2 linked regions of the Arabidopsis thaliana genome follow. The protein of the gene in region 2 interacts with the protein of the main gene of each other region in a pairwise test. Each region holds a gene or a part of one and is shown on either strand. Other genes may lie near its edges.

The links.
Region 1: the proteins of AT5G56040 (region 2) and TET11 interact in a protein complementation assay, tested with the Arabidopsis thaliana proteins (one large-scale study listed by BioGRID).

What each region holds. Positions count from the first base shown.
Region 1 is NC_003070.9:6,371,616-6,378,512, forward strand, and holds TET11 (tetraspanin11), read left to right. Parts: upstream 1-3,290; 5' UTR 3,291-3,435; coding exon 3,436-3,942; intron 3,943-4,254; coding exon 4,255-4,563; 3' UTR 4,564-4,718; downstream 4,719-6,897. Other genes in the region: MAML-4 (methylthioalkylmalate synthase-like 4), read left to right, coding at 1-30, 118-192, 454-537, 628-762, 847-992, 1,114-1,246; TET16 (tetraspanin), read left to right, coding at 1,650-2,096, 2,176-2,475; AT1G18530 (EF hand calcium-binding protein family), read left to right, coding at 5,168-5,641; AT1G18540 (Ribosomal protein L6 family protein), read right to left, coding at 5,833-5,988, 6,091-6,272, 6,361-6,467, 6,677-6,897. UniProt on the Arabidopsis thaliana protein: May be involved in the regulation of cell differentiation.
Region 2 is NC_003076.8:22,691,168-22,700,496, reverse strand, and holds AT5G56040 (Leucine-rich receptor-like protein kinase family protein), read right to left. Parts: upstream 5,675-9,329; 5' UTR 5,448-5,674; coding exon 2,642-5,447; coding exon of another isoform or gene 2,586-2,641; exon of another isoform or gene 2,554-2,585; coding exon 2,087-2,553; 3' UTR 1,852-2,086; downstream 1-1,851. UniProt on the Arabidopsis thaliana protein: Receptor with a serine/threonine-protein kinase activity.

The DNA of each region.
Region 1 (6,897 bases), on a different chromosome or scaffold from region 2:
CGTCATGCGCTGAAAGACCGTTTGACTGAGGTGCACAGCAATCTTACACATACAAATACTTGTATTGCCATCTTTGTGGGAGACACTAATGTTCTCTTATCTTTTGTACATTTCCAGCTTGGTTATCAATTAGATGATGAACAGCTAAGTACCATTTTCTGGCGCTTCAAAACCGTGGCTGAGCAGAAAAAGGTAGTTGCTTTTGGTTATTGTGTATTTCCTCGGAAACCTAACTTGCGTTTTCAATTCCAAATAAAAGCTTCGCAGCCATTTTGAAAGCTTTGTTAGACCTATAAGACTTGAGTCTCCGTGGCTAATTTGGAATGTACTTTGTTTCCTTAGTTCTGGCTGCATAAACTTAGGATGTGTAGAGGATTACTCTTTCTATTTTCTAGTGCTCTTGATTTGTTAATGTAATGTCTTCTGATCGTATATGTTCCCTTGCTGATCCAGAGAGTTACTGATGCGGACATAATAGCTTTAGTATCTGATGAAGTTTTCCAGCCAGAAGCCGTGTGGAAACTCCTGGACATTCAGGTGAAATTGGGATCATAATGTGCTTTCTTACTCTTTTTTCTTGTTCATTGTCTTTATCCAATTCTCATGGTACTTAAAAGTGGAATGCAGATAACTTGTGGAACTCTCGGGCTTTCAACAGCAACTGTAAAACTTGCTGACGCTGATGGCAAAGAACATGTCGCTTGTTCTATTGGAACTGGGCCTGTGGATTCAGCTTACAAGGCAGTAGATCTTATCGTAAAGGTACTGTTTATACCGCTGAGGCTCTCATCTACAAATAACTCACCAGTGGGTCATCGCTTATTGAAAACCTTTTTCCCCCTTTAGGAACCGGCTACTCTGCTTGAGTACTCAATGAATGCAGTAACAGAAGGCATTGATGCCATCGCAACCACAAGAGTTCTTATCCGTGGAAGCAACAAATACTCATCTACAAACGCAATAACTGGTGAAGAGGTTCAAAGAACCTTTAGGTAAAATCCTCTTTTGCCCCATATCTCATTCAAACCGGATCGATTTATCTGCGAAGTTTATTGTTTCTTGTTGATTCTTGCTTGTATTATAACACCAAACCGGTTGTCTTGTGTTTGGCAGTGGAACTGGAGCAGGAATGGATATTGTGGTGTCAAGCGTCAAAGCTTATGTTGGAGCTTTGAACAAAATGATGGACTTCAAAGAAAACTCCGCCACAAAAATCCCTTCCCAAAAAAACAGAGTCGCTGCCTGAATTAAAAATCTTTCCGGCAAATACCAAAAAGTCAGACAGAAGTTAGGTTCTTTTATTTTCAAGTACATAGTTTGGTAATAACTGGAGTTTCGGAGTTTGCTTGTTGTTTATCGAAGTTGCATGTCAAAAGAGTTTGGTGTACTATATATATCTTGATTTAACTTGAATCTCTATTTTTAGAAATAATGGTTTTAGAATAAGGAATAAAAACCAACCGTTAAACAGTTTTAACCTATTTCAAAAAGCTGTCTTTAGACTAAACTAAGGTCTTAAAACTCAAAAACAAAACTGATACCTCTCTGTTCTTGATTCCTTGTCTCTTTGTTACAACCTCTTCATATATCACACAAGTCAAAACATCATATACTCTACGAGTCATTTTAGATTTCCTGATTTGCAAAAAATGTCAGAGATACGAACAGGGTTCTTAACAATGGCGACCATAATCCTTATATGCATAGGCTTAACAATGACGGGAACAGGTTTATATTACAGAAAAACAGTCTCGAAATGTATCCGAGAAACGGATGGCAGTTTCGTCGTCATTGGTTTGCTCTTGCTGGTGATTCCTCAGTTTGCTCTTTACGCAATCTGTTGTCACTCAAAACGTATGTTCACAATCTACATCTATGCAATGATATTCGTAAGCATTGTCCTTGGTGGCTACTCTTTAAAGTGTTTCATCTACAACACAACCTTTGGAATCGCCAAGAACCCGGCTGAGGAAAAGCGAACCGCCAAGCAATTGGTAGGCAGGCTAGTCCCTGAAAGTAAACTTGCAAAAGTCACGGAGTGCATCATTCATAACCATGACTGTAACTTCAATGCCAGCCAAAACAGCAATGTTTGGGTAAGTACTTAATTATGTCACCTCATCCTGATTCATTCGTAATAAAAGATCAATTCTCTAACAATGATGATATATATAGAGGTATTGCTGCGCGCAACCAAGAGGATGTGGAGTGACGACAATGTTCGGGCAACCAGGAGAATGGAGTTGGAAACATCAACACGTAGAGAACCATGTTCCGGAAGAATGTTCTTACGAATACTGTCTCAGTTGCAGAGGTTGCCAGATGAGCATCTTAAAAGCCATTGTTCATCAATGGAAATATCTCTCCATGTTCTCTTATCCTGCCCTCTTTCTCGTTTGTCTCAGCCTCGCCATTTCCAGGTCCATTATGGATACTTTCGATGAACCTGATGATTATAGGGGCTATTATTCTTGATTTCATTTTTCCATATCAAATGTACATGATATATATTTAATTCTAGTTTCTCATTAGTTTTCTTCAATATTAACTAACACCTTTTTCTTTCTTTTTTCTAATCTTAACGATGGAGGAAGAGTCTTTTAAAGTAAATACTCGGATACACCAAATGTTTGGTATCTATAATCTATTCTGACTAAACCAGAGCTATCACCAGAAGTAGTTATTTTGTCACGTGAGATGCGTTTTGGAATTCCACTAATTTCATCAATCTTGTAAGTTAAGATCAAAATAAGAAGAAAATCTCCTAGATGTCACCAGGGTATAAAATGGTTGTGTTATTTACCCATGCAATAATAAATTTTTGGATTTTCTTCCATCAATTCTTAACGAATATTATAAACCCCCCACGAATTTGAGTTTTATCCTTGAAAAACGTTTTTTCACAACATATTATTATTCATATATTTACTTATTTAGTTTGTTTTTTCCTTTTCCAAGTAACAAAAATATGAATTAATATGCATTTTTATTTAAAAATAAAATTAACATAAACCTATATGTAATTTTCCCAACAATCTCGTACTCAATAAATTCTTATTAAATTCAATGTTTAAAAAGTCGAGTGACAGTTTAATTATTAGTCTTAGTTACGTGGCAGTAAGACCTAGTCAAAATCTAATTAAACGACTTCCTCTAAACTAAAGGATCTTCTTAACCCCCACACGATCTCTAAAACCAATGGCTAATAATCTCCACTAATATCATCAACCCACTACCAAAAAAGCAACCGTTTCCCTCTTTCCCCAATAACCACGACTCCACACACTTAAAAACACACACACACACTAAAAACGTTACGAAACATAATTATCAAATTCAAACAACAACAAAAAAACACTCTCTCCCTCTCCGTATCTATTTAAAATCCGATCAGGTTAATCGAGTTTATCATTTGGAGAAAGCAAATTTCCAAAAATGTTTCGAGTTAGCAATTTCATGGTTGGTCTAGCAAACACATTGGTGATGTTAGTGGGCGCTTCGGCCATTGGTTATTCGATTTACATGTTCGTTCACCAAGGCGTCACTGATTGTGAATCTGCCATTCGGATACCACTTCTCACGACCGGACTCATCCTCTTCTTGGTGTCTTTGCTCGGAGTGATTGGATCTTGTTTCAAGGAGAATTTGGCAATGGTTTCCTACTTGATCATATTGTTTGGGGGCATTGTTGCATTGATGATTTTCTCCATATTTCTCTTCTTTGTGACCAACAAAGGAGCCGGTCGTGTGGTGTCCGGTCGAGGGTATAAAGAGTACCGGACGGTGGATTTCTCGACGTGGCTTAATGGGTTCGTTGGTGGGAAGAGATGGGTTGGGATAAGGTCTTGTTTGGCTGAGGCTAACGTTTGTGATGATTTGAGTGATGGTCGTGTTAGTCAGATCGCTGATGCGTTTTATCACAAGAACTTGTCTCCCATCCAGGTATTGTTTTGGATCGATTTTCTGTATGAACATATTTCTTTGTTGATATTTTTGTATAAATATAGTAAAGGGAAGACCAATCAAAGCTTTTGCTTTCTTTAGTATATATATATGTAAAGACAAATCAATAAAAAATAGTCTAGGTTCATTTCATCGTTCTTAGTATGATTAAATTTCATTGTTAAGTTTTTGCATATAGTAACAAAAGCAAGACAATTTTTAGCCGAACTAAGATAACACTTATATGTTAAGCCGTTAAATTTATTGTTCATAATGGGTTGTGTAACTCAAGTATTGATTGTGTATGAGCAGTCAGGTTGTTGTAAGCCACCATCGGATTGCAACTTCGAGTTCAGAAACGCGACGTTCTGGATACCGCCGAGCAAAAACGAAACGGCAGTTGCGGAAAACGGGGACTGTGGTACGTGGAGCAACGTGCAAACAGAGTTATGTTTCAACTGCAACGCATGCAAAGCGGGTGTGTTAGCGAACATAAGAGAGAAGTGGAGGAATCTTCTTGTTTTCAACATTTGTCTCCTCATTCTCCTCATAACCGTCTATTCCTGCGGTTGCTGTGCTCGTCGTAACAATCGGACGGCTAGGAAAAGTGATTCTGTCTGATCAACAACTCAATTTCAGTTTCTTGTGTTTTTCTGTTTTCTTAGTTTGTTTGGTTTTTTAAGTTAATTATCTTTTGTTTTCTTTGGACAATGTCATGTTCTGTTTCTCAACAATTATCATGAATTTATCACATTTCACTAGTCGTAACCATTGGCATTTAATTTTATTTTAAATCTTATGCTTCACATATTTAGTCACAATTCTAATTATCTTTATGTTTCTTAGGACAATGTCATGTTTTTGTTTCACCACAATCAATATGATTTTCTTTACCAAAAAGGCAAAAAGAATCATTATGAATTTTCACATTTCAATAGCAGTACCAATCTAACTCAAACAAAAAAAAAATATGTGGTCTTATCTATTTTTATCAGCAACCATTAACAAACCAACGAAAAAGAAAAGAACAAACAAAACATTAAAACATAGAAAAGATCCAGAATTCTAAATTCTACGTGCTCAAAAAGAAACAAAACTTCAATCTTAAATCTCCTTTCTGGCACACCCTTCATTGACAATCATAACCTCTTGTCTCATCAATCTCTCTCGTCGCCAACATTGATTAATCGATTTTTATTTGTGTTGCTAAAGAAAGAAAGAAAAAATGGAGGATCAGATAAGACAACTTAAAGACATTTTCGACCGGTTCGACATGGACGCAGACGGAAGCTTAACAATCTTAGAACTCGCGGCACTTCTCCGGTCACTCGGTCTCAAACCTTCCGGCGATCAAATCCATGTTTTGTTAGCTAGCATGGACTCAAACGGCAACGGTTTTGTCGAATTCGATGAGCTCGTTGGTACAATTCTTCCTGATCTTAACGAAGAGGTCCTAATCAATTCCGAGCAATTACTCGAGATTTTCAAATCGTTCGATAGAGACGGTAACGGGTTCATAAGTGCGGCTGAGCTTGCAGGAGCAATGGCCAAGATGGGTCAACCATTAACGTATAAAGAATTAACGGAGATGATCAAAGAAGCTGATACAAATGGTGATGGTGTTATAAGCTTTGGAGAGTTTGCTTCAATTATGGCAAAATCTGCTGTTGATTACTTTGGATTAAAAATTAATTCGTGATCATTTCTTATGCTTTTTCATTTATTCATTTTTATAGAAAATCGAATTCATAACACCAGGTCTTAAAGCTAGATTGCTCGAAAATTTGATATATAAAATCAGAGAAAATAGTCTTTAAGATCCAAGGACGATTAAAGATGAAAATACTCAGGGAAACAGATATTCTTAAAATTTGAGAAACAATACGAAATCTAGAAAACAAGCTCATGTGGTTTCATTCCTTGACTCAATGAGAACCTGGCTCCAAGGTAAACCTTGAGCTCTGGGACAGCTTCAATGGATTTGATCAGAGCAGCATCAACGGTTTTCTGGTCTTCCTTCTTCTCCTGTGGGATCTCCTTCTTCTCCTGTTCAACCCAAAGTTTTCAATTAGGTAATGGTACAAAGACAAGAAAACACATAATAACCATTTTTGGATAAAACCAAATATCCATAAGATGATTGTATACCTCTTTCTCAGCTTCGAAGAATTCGCCTTCTGTTTTCTTCTTCTTCTTCTCAGCAACCTTTCCAAAATACTTGTCATCGAATTTCTCAGTGTTGACTCCAGAAATGTCAATCTTTGTGGAGGTTCCAATCACATAGGCTTGGTTAACACGTCTCAATGGAACACCATTAATCTTGAATGGTCCTGAAATGACCAAATCAACAAAGACAAACATTAACATAGGTTCCAAATTGAACAATCAAACCAACACCATCGAGAGATAAGAGTTCACCTGTTACAAGAAGCAAACCAGAAGAAAGTTGCTTGAGGAAGACAACTCTCTTACCCTTGAATCTACCAGCAAGAATGATCAACACAGTTCCTGGAGTGATGCTGGCTCTGCAACACAGAGATAAACAAAACCATATTCATATCAAAAATGAAGCATAGCCATAATCTCTAGGAATCCTACATTTCTAAAAATCCTAACAATTTGTATGGTCTCTCTTATATCACCAGTAGATCCAAAACCATTCTAATACTAGATCTAGCGGAATCAAACTCAAATGAAAATTAAAAACCAATCGAAGAAGAAGATGGATAAATACTTTAGCTTGGTAGGCTTAGGCTTGCGTCTGTTAACAAGCGGCTTCTTGACGTCTTCCGCCGGATAAAACTTGGCAGGCTTCTCAACCGGAGCGTCGACCTTTGGCTGAGCATCGTGACGAGGGAAAACGCCACCGTTCTTGGCCTTGATAGCCCACAAACCTCTCTTGTGGTACATCTGAGACCTCGAATATTTTCCAACTCCCCTGATTAGGTCAGGGTT
Region 2 (9,329 bases):
GAAACAACGATCGACAACACAGACTCTTTCACAATTTTAATACTTGTGTCAGCAAGAAATTAGTAATCAATTCTAACTTTTATCTGCATTCCATCATATCAACTTGCTTGCAGTAGCCTACTAAAAAAAGTACTAACTAGACGAATGAGAAAGGAACAAGACCTAGTTTAGGCTTTTGAGAAGAAAACATGACAATCCTAATTAAGGGTGAACAAGAATTAGTTCTGCATAGACCTAGTTCTGTTTTATTCACTTTAGCTTCCACGGCAAGCATCAAGGCCTTCTGATGCATCATTTTTTACCATCTTAAGGAACCCATTGTTTCGAAATGGGGTCACAGTCTGCCGCAAATTAAGAAATCCTAGAACTAGAAGATCAGATTCGTACTCAGCATTACGTTCCTCATCTAGAAAAAACCCTAATCCAACACCTGAGAAACGCATCCCTCAATGTTAAACGTTATATTGAGAAATTGGTTAACAAAACAACACTTTGGTTAAACCAATTACGGTTCTCCGAATTGGTTTACTCAGTCGTATTTTAATTTTGTCATTTAACTCGATACGATAGAAATCTTCTTGTACATATTTAAACGGACTCATTTGAAACACAACAGGCCCGTTAGGCCCGCGAATTTGAAACCCATTATATGTATGTATCCGGATCTCATACCCGGTTAAATATCTCTAGGAGAAACTCTTGCATGGATGATGCATGGGCACAAGACTTGAAAATGAAAATCATGAGATGATGTAATGTTAGCTCACAACAATACATCGAATCGAACACATGAAGTGGACTCCCGTACATTCCGCATAATCATCATTAGCTTTTTGTTGCTTCTGTCTGTTGCGAGACTTCAATAACCTTTTTCACATATTTTTTTCCTTTAGCTGATTTCGTATTATTTTGTCAATAGTTTGTTTCAAAAATACGAAAAATAATCATTAATATCACGAGTAATGGATCTACTCATCTACACGAGAACTAATATATTGTTCGGGATACGAATTTGTTAAGATAATTTTTCTCTTGCTATACAACTAAACTAACTACATTTAAACTGTGATGGCAACTCAAAAATCAGGACTAATTTAAAAAAACTTTTGGAAGTCACTATCAAAACCTCTTGAACTTAAGAGATTAAATAGACAAACATATACACAACAAAGAGAAGCAACACCCACAAAACTGAAAACTGTCGTTCTTACATTTGGTTAAGGCATGTGCAATCTTATTATTGTGTGCACACAAAGTTTTTTTTTTTTTTTTGATAGCTTAAAAAGGTTATGTGAGCCTCGAGTCATCTTCAATCTTATATTATATAACCAAAAATATTATTTATTGTATTTAGATGATAAAAATTGGTGATTGTTGGCTGGAAAGTCATTGTTATTCAGACAACACATGATCATGTGATGGGTGGCGCGTGGGTCCACGTGATCCCACGTCGAAAGCCTCTCTTATAAATTTCACAAAATTAGCAAACATCCAAAGATTATATAATTTGATAATTGAATAAAAATTTTAATAAAGAAGAACGAATCTTTCTTCTGTATGTAACTCCAAACACTCCCGGCCTTTCTCATCCAGTATTTGTATCTTAAATTCTTCAAAAATTACAAAAGCAAATACCTTCAAAAATTTTATAAATAGTAACTCATCATGTTCTATTTTTTGATATAATAGAATTGTGGATCAATGTTCAAACTAATCTTTCTCTTCCTCAAAATTTAGTTTCTGCAATGTTCAGACAAAATGGACTATTGAACATGGATAATTCTTGGATCTATGAATTTTCGGTTTAGCAAAGTTAACCAATATCTCCAATTATTTATGTTTATATTATTATTTTGAAAATAAAAAATAATAAAATAAACCACTTCAAGCTATTGAAATTATTTTACAATACATTCTTTCTTCAACTCGTTTGCAAGAAAAAATAAAATTAAAACTCACAAACCAAAACAATAAGCTAAGCTTAGATCTTTCTTTCCCTGATTCTAACAAATCATCGACAACAAATAAATATTCACACACACATTTTATAAATGTCATCACCCTAATCGAACTCCTGTAAAATTTTTTATACGGATTCATCCGAGTAAGCAAACGAACAATTAGATGAACCTCGAGGAGTACTGACAATTTTCTCCGGTGGTAACGGTTGCGGCTGCCATTTTTCGCATTTTCCGCCTTTTATCATATCGGATTCCGATCTATCCATATCAAACTGCCTAATCTCTTTAAGCATTGCCACAATGTCTTTCATCATAGGCCGATCGGATGCCTTGTTGCTCACACAAAGGAACGAGACCGCTAGAGTTTGTAGCATCTCATGCATTATAGGATCTGCCCGCCCGCGGAGTCTCGGGTCAAGAATTTCTCTAGGATCTTTCTTTCCGGCTAAATGATCTCTCACCCATTGAACCAAATGAGCACCTCCGGGTAGATCCGGGTCCAATGGATGCTTCCCGGTTAAAACTTCTAGTAGCACCACTCCATAGCTATACACATCACTCTTTTCTGTTATATGTTGCATCGAAGCATGTTCTGTAACAAAACAAATAAAATCCGTTATAAAGTTAATATTTCGAAATTGATAAGTTTATAACGTTAAAATCGAAATTTTGAATTTTACCTGGAGCCATGTAACCATAAGAACCGGCTAACGGAGGCCGGTTACTCAATTTAGACGAATCTCCATCGGTAACTCCCTCACCGGAGACGATTTTTGCTAAACCGAAATCGGCTAAGTAAGATTCGAAGCGGGAACCCAATAAGACATTCATAGCTTTAACGTCACCGTGTAGAATCGGAGGAAGACAATCATGATGAAGATAAGCTAGTGCATGTGCAACGCCTAAAACGACGTCGTAACGTGCTTCCCAATCAGCTCCTCCACTTCCTTTACCGGCACCGTGAAGCAGAGAGCTTAAACTTCCGTTAGGAAGATAATCATAGAACAAAAGCTTCAGATTCCGATTCGAACACCAACCCAAAAGACGGATTATGTTCCTATGTCGAATCGATCCAAGAGTGTTGATCTCTGAGTTAAACGCTCTGTTTTCTTCCTTTGACCACATTTTCTTCACAGCTAAAGTTTCACCGGACGGGATTGTGACTCTGTAAACTACACCGGAGCTTCCAGTTCCGATCACGTTAGCTGAAGTTAAGTTCTTGACGATGTCGTCGATGGAGAAATCGAGTTTCTGATAAAGAGTCACTTCCCAAGAATCTAACTCCTCTTGTTTTCCGGTGATTCGTTGAGCTTTGACGAGAGTGTAAACCGCCATGAGAACAAGAACGACGCTTGCTGCTACGAGGATCGACATGGTTACTTTGACAGCCGAACGGTGTCGGGTTTGGATCCCATTCTCGGGTCGGGTCGAAATAAATAGCCCTTTGTTTGATTCAAGAACAGAGAGTGGAAGTTTCCTGAAAAACAGAGTATTTGGTAACTCGCCTGAGAATTCGTTGAAGGAGATGTTGAGTGAGACGAGGTTCTGTAGATCAGCTAAGACGTTTAGGTTTCCGGCGAGTTTGTTGTGAGAGACATCGAGGGTTCCGAGATTAGTGAGGCTAGAGAATCTCGACGGGATCTCTCCGGTGAAGTGATTGCAGCTGAGATTTAGAGAGATCGCAAGAGACGGGATCCGTCCTAACTCGTTAGGGATTTCTCCGGTGAAGCCATTGTCGCCGAGGTTGAGAAGCTGAAGACTCCGACAGGAAGATATCTCTCGAGGGATTTCGCCGGAGAAACGATTCTTCGCGAGATTGAGCTTCGTGAGTTCGGTTAACGATCCGATTCCGGTTGGTAGAGAACCGGTTAATGAATTATCGGATAAATCAATGAATTGTAAGCTCTTCGGAAGTGTACCGGGTAAACCACCGGTTAAACCGTTTGAATGTAGATCGACGAATTCGAGACTTGTACAACCGGAGATCTCCGGAGGAATGTTTCCGATGAGACGATTCTCACTTATATCGATGAAGTTGAGATTTTTCAGATTCCCAATCTCCGCCGGAATATTCCCCGCGAGTCTGTTACCGTTGAGTCTTAACCGGTAAAGATTCGTGCAGTTTCCAATATCCGGTGGTATGAATCCAGATAAGTAGTTAGAGAGAAGAAGAAGCTTCGTGAGGTTTCGAATCTCAAAGATTCCATTAGGTATCGAACCAGAGAGATTGTTGTAGGAGAGATCAATCGCTTGAAGCTCTTGACATTGAGAAAGAGACTCTGGAATTATTCCGGTTAACTGATTCTGCCACGCAAAGAACATCGTCAAGCTTGTTAATTTCCCGATCAACGGCGGAATCTCGCCGGAGATTTGGTTGTTATCGATCTCTAAATGCGTCAACTTCGTGCAATTCGCGAGTTCTTCAGGGATTGTACCGGAGAGCTGGTTAACACTTAGCTGAAGCTCTTGGAGATTTGGAAGGTTTCCGAAGCTTCTTGGGATGTTTCCGGTGAGGAGATTTTCCGATAAATCGACGAGGAAAAGCTCCGGACAGGTGCCTAGCTCGGTAGGGATCTTTCCGACGAGATTGTTTTGCCATAAGAGAAGACTTTGAAGCTTCTTGAGACGTCCCATTGATACAGGAATCGATCCAGAGATTGAGTTTTGGTACAAGTAGAGGTTTTGAAGCTCTGTGCAGTTTCCAATCTCATCAGGGATTGGACCAGACAAGAGTGACGTGTAAAGAGCTATTGTCTGAACCTTTTTCAGGTTTCCGATCGACGCCGGAAGTCTACCGGAGAGACTTGTTTCGGCGAGACCTAAAGTCACAAGACTCTCGCAGTTACCAATCTCCCAAGGAAGCTCTCCTCTGAGATTCTTGTTACCACCTGCACGGAAGATTTCTAGATTCTTGAGTTCTCCGATGGTTCTAGGAATCTCTCCGGCGAGTTTATTGTCGAAGAGAGTGAGCTCGATGAGGTTAACGAGATTCCCTAACTCCGATGGAATCACACCTTCGAGATTATTTGTGTTGAGAGACAGAATCTTTAGTTTCTTGAGCTTGAAGATATCCACAGGGATTTCACCAGAGAGAGAATTATCAGCTAAATCAAGAACTTCTAGCTCCGACAAGTCTCCAAGCTCCTTAGGGATTGAACCAGTGAGATTCACGGAGGTTAAGCTGAGCAAAGTCAGAGACTTTATCTGTCGGAGATTCGTCGCCGGTAACGGACCTTGAAAATCCATGACTTGGAGTTGTATCTCCGAGACTTGACCTCTTTCGTTGCATTTGATTCCCACCCATTGACAAGGATTCGATTCGGAGGCTTTCCAAGAAGATAAAGCGTCTCCGGAGATGTTCAACTGAGATTTCCATGAGAGGAGAGCTAGACCCTGTTCGTCTATGGAAAAACAGGGGATGGAGAAGAAAAGAGAGGAGTGAAAAAGAAGGAAGAGGAAGAAGCAGAATCTAGGGTTACGTGGCATTGGTGAAGAGGGAGAGGAAGAAGAAGAAGTGAGAGATAGAGAGAGAGGTGCGTTGGGATTGTGAAGCGAAGAACCCCATGGATTTGGTTTTTACTTTGATTTTATAGAAATATATAAAAACAGAGCAAACCAAAGGAGAGAGAGAGAAGAAGAAGTAGTAAAGGAAGATCTGGATCCCAAAAAGCACCTCTACCTTTTTCCCTTTATTATTATTTTCCAAACAATGTCACTTTATTTTTTCACCATTATTTGTTTGTGAACAAAACAGAATTATATAAGTTGAAAATTAAATAAAAATATAGATGAAAAGAGTGGTAAATTATATTTATTCCTTTTCTTGTAAGTGGATTTATCTGTGGTAAATGCTTCTAGATGAGGCATGCTGATAATATTATTCATAAATGGTAAAAAAAAAAAACTCCTATAGATCTAACTATTACATAGTCATAAATCATCTAAGAAAATTAGGTTATCAAATTCAGAAAATGACATGTTAGAATTGGCCCTATTATTTGTTATTTCTGGATTGTTATCTTTTAAGAAACAAAAGGAAGATAACGTTTACTCAGATCAATAATGACTTCTAGACTTCTAGTTACTAATAATGATATTTGTTGAATGCTACTACTAGTAGTACTACTACTACCTATTATTGATAAACGACGCATAACATAATTGGGGTTTTCTAATGCTTCGAAAGAAACATTTAGATAATTTGGATTGTGATTATTTGTTTTTTTTTTTGTTTACTTTGGGAGAGTCTGAAGTGGCTATATAGTGGTAAAAATGAGATTAGTAAATAACTGAAAGAAAGATGGAGATATCTACTTTGGATTTCTGATATATAAATTATTAAATTAGTAGTTGAAACATGGAATCTTGAAGAGTGTGAAATGCACATGAAAGCTAGGAATTTATGTGAAAGATTAATTAAATTTACTAATGCTCATCTCTGCTAGCATTGTCGGTCCATTTCATTCGCTGTAATTATCTGTTTATATCATACGTATGCTAATACTAATTAATATCCATATACATATATACACTTGCTCATACATATATTGAATTAAGATGAAGGTGTTTTAGATCCAATTTCTTGGACTGGAAATTTAGAATACTGATTAGAAAAATTAAAAAGGAGGAACTGGACAAAACAAAAAGATTATGGAAAAGATAAAGTAAACTAAAATTAAGATCATGGGTCAAGCATCATTAGGTCAAGAAGATTATATATAAAGATATAACACCACACCTCAAGTCACATGCCATAGTAGAATCAAAAGATTAAATATGTATCAATAGATATGTAGAGAGATGGTTATGCATGTGCATATCTATACACATAGTAAAGTGAGAGAAAGCATTTCGACAACATGGTTTTATTCTGCAGGTATTTAATTATGGAATAGTGTGTACTCTAATTACCGTAAATTTCACTTAAAAACTGGTGATGTTAATCATATATTGATGTAATATGTTTCGTAATATGTAACTTTTGTTGTAAGTTAGAGACAACAGATATTCTTTCATTTTAAAGAGTTACATTAATGGTAAGCAAGTAACAAAGTTTCTTTCTCACAAAAATACGAATATCTCTTGGGGTCTACCACATTTACATGAAATGTACATACTAAATCATTTGCATAAACAGTACTAGTGTGTCTAAATCATTCTCAGGCGCACCGTGGTACAAATGACCTCAACTTTAAGACCAAAAGTTTTGCTAACGCTTTGAATTCGACGTATGTACATATTTCGTGTGAGGCATTTCATCATTTGGACTAAGCTCCAACGTTTTGTCAACCCTTGATCTATAACTTCTTTCTTTGGTTTATAACTTATGGAGTATTTGTTTAGTTTTAATAAATAAATAAGAGAGTCATACCAAAATAAAATTAAAATAAGAGACGAACATGTGTGGGGAGAGTTAAATGAATATGGTCCATAAAGAGGAAAAATAAAAGGGAAAACAATAAGCCAAAAACCAACAAACAAGAAGGAAGTAAAGAGACAGCAAAAGATGCAAGAGAAAAGACAAGTACCCAACTGTATTTTCCAAACTTGTTAAAATTTTGATTTCTTTCTCAAATCTTATGATTATCATTAAATGGTCCATATTGTTCTTTTGTCTATCGCATCTATCGTTATTTGAATTAGTGTCGTCGACAATTAATGACTGTTATAGCTAAGCAGCTTCCAAATTATACATGTTCACATATGTATGCAATGAAGGGTGATGGTTTTTATTATAATGAAGTGTGATGGTTTTTCTTACTTTTAAGAAAGTTAATAGTGATGATAACAATTAAGATAAATTAAAAGATGTAGACTTGATTACGACAATGGAACAAGATCTGGATCTATATCACGTTTCGATTAGGTCAGAGATCTCACCACATGATGATAGAGCAATAGAAAATACGTCTAGGGATATATATATAAGCAACTAAGGATAAATATTACTAAGTGAGTGTTATAAATTACTAATTAAGTGGATCTGATCGATGATTATGATGGGCAATTTTTTACTTAGTTTTTTTTCTTTCTTTCTGCTAATTAAGTATATACAAGCATTTGTCTGTATCAATTTTATAAATTCAATTATAATAATAAAAACTGGTCCACTGTGGGGTATTTAGTAGCAGAAGCAGTCCAAGAATGTAGTGGCAGAAGTGTGAAAAGAAGTGGGCATCGATCAAAACTACTTATTTCTTTGTTAATTTGTCGATCCAATGAATATAACATATATTATGGTTGATCATGATAATGCTACGTCTTATGAGTGGCCATGTTGATAAAATTCCATTGGTTGTAACCACTCATACGACTACGAAGACACTGTAGTAAGAAAACCATTTAGATACTTGCTGATAATATGGAAAACCAACCAATCCAAAAAAGAGGAAATTTTCTAATATTAGTATTTAGAAAAGGCGAATAATTAGATTCATGCTTAAATTAATGTGGACGACGAATCACATAGTCAATATATAATCAAAGCTCATACACATTTCAAATCGAAAAACAAAATCCAAATATATGTGATGTACCATTTAGTGAAATTATACAGAAGAAGATTATGAGCCATGGAATGTTTCAACTATGAAAAAAACTAATCCACACGCACATAGGAATATGATGATTTCTTTCGTCGAGGACATATAGGATGATATTGTTAGATAAAACTTTTTATTACTAATTTGGGACATCTCCATATCAAGTGTGAACCCTATTATATATAGTTTGTAGTGTATAATTGATTTAGGAAAGTGTATATTTACAAAAACTGATATATATGCATGAATGTATGTAAGTAGACATTTTGTGTTTGTAGGTATGTATATGATGTGAAATGAGATGGGGCCAATGATAATGAGATATGGCTTTAAGAGGGAAATCATAATAGTGACCTTTTTTGTGATGACAACAACCACACGTGCTCTCATTCCTTCTACCAAAGGATTGCCTCTCGCCTTCGTTGCACCTTTTTTCCTCCAATTATTTCAGAACCAAATGATATTTCTCAATCCTAGTTTTTAGATCGAAACTCAAAACTCTTTCTTTTTAACTTCATTTCATTGATGTTATGTAACTCTCTTTTAGTTATCGCAAGTACTTCATTGTTAACATTCTCTGTAGAGACCAAAGCAATCTATAACTTTTGTAACTTACTTGATAAAAAACCAACAATCTAAAGTGAGAACTATATAGGATGTAATAAGAGAAATATATGTTAAAAGAAAACACATAACTCAGTTGAAACTCAATTTCATGAAAACATCCCTAGTCTTAACTAAACTGACTAGAGAGTTAACTTTGTTACTTTTAAGTTTTAAAAATTAAAAGAGGCACACCATTTAACTCTTGGTCAAAAAAATATGT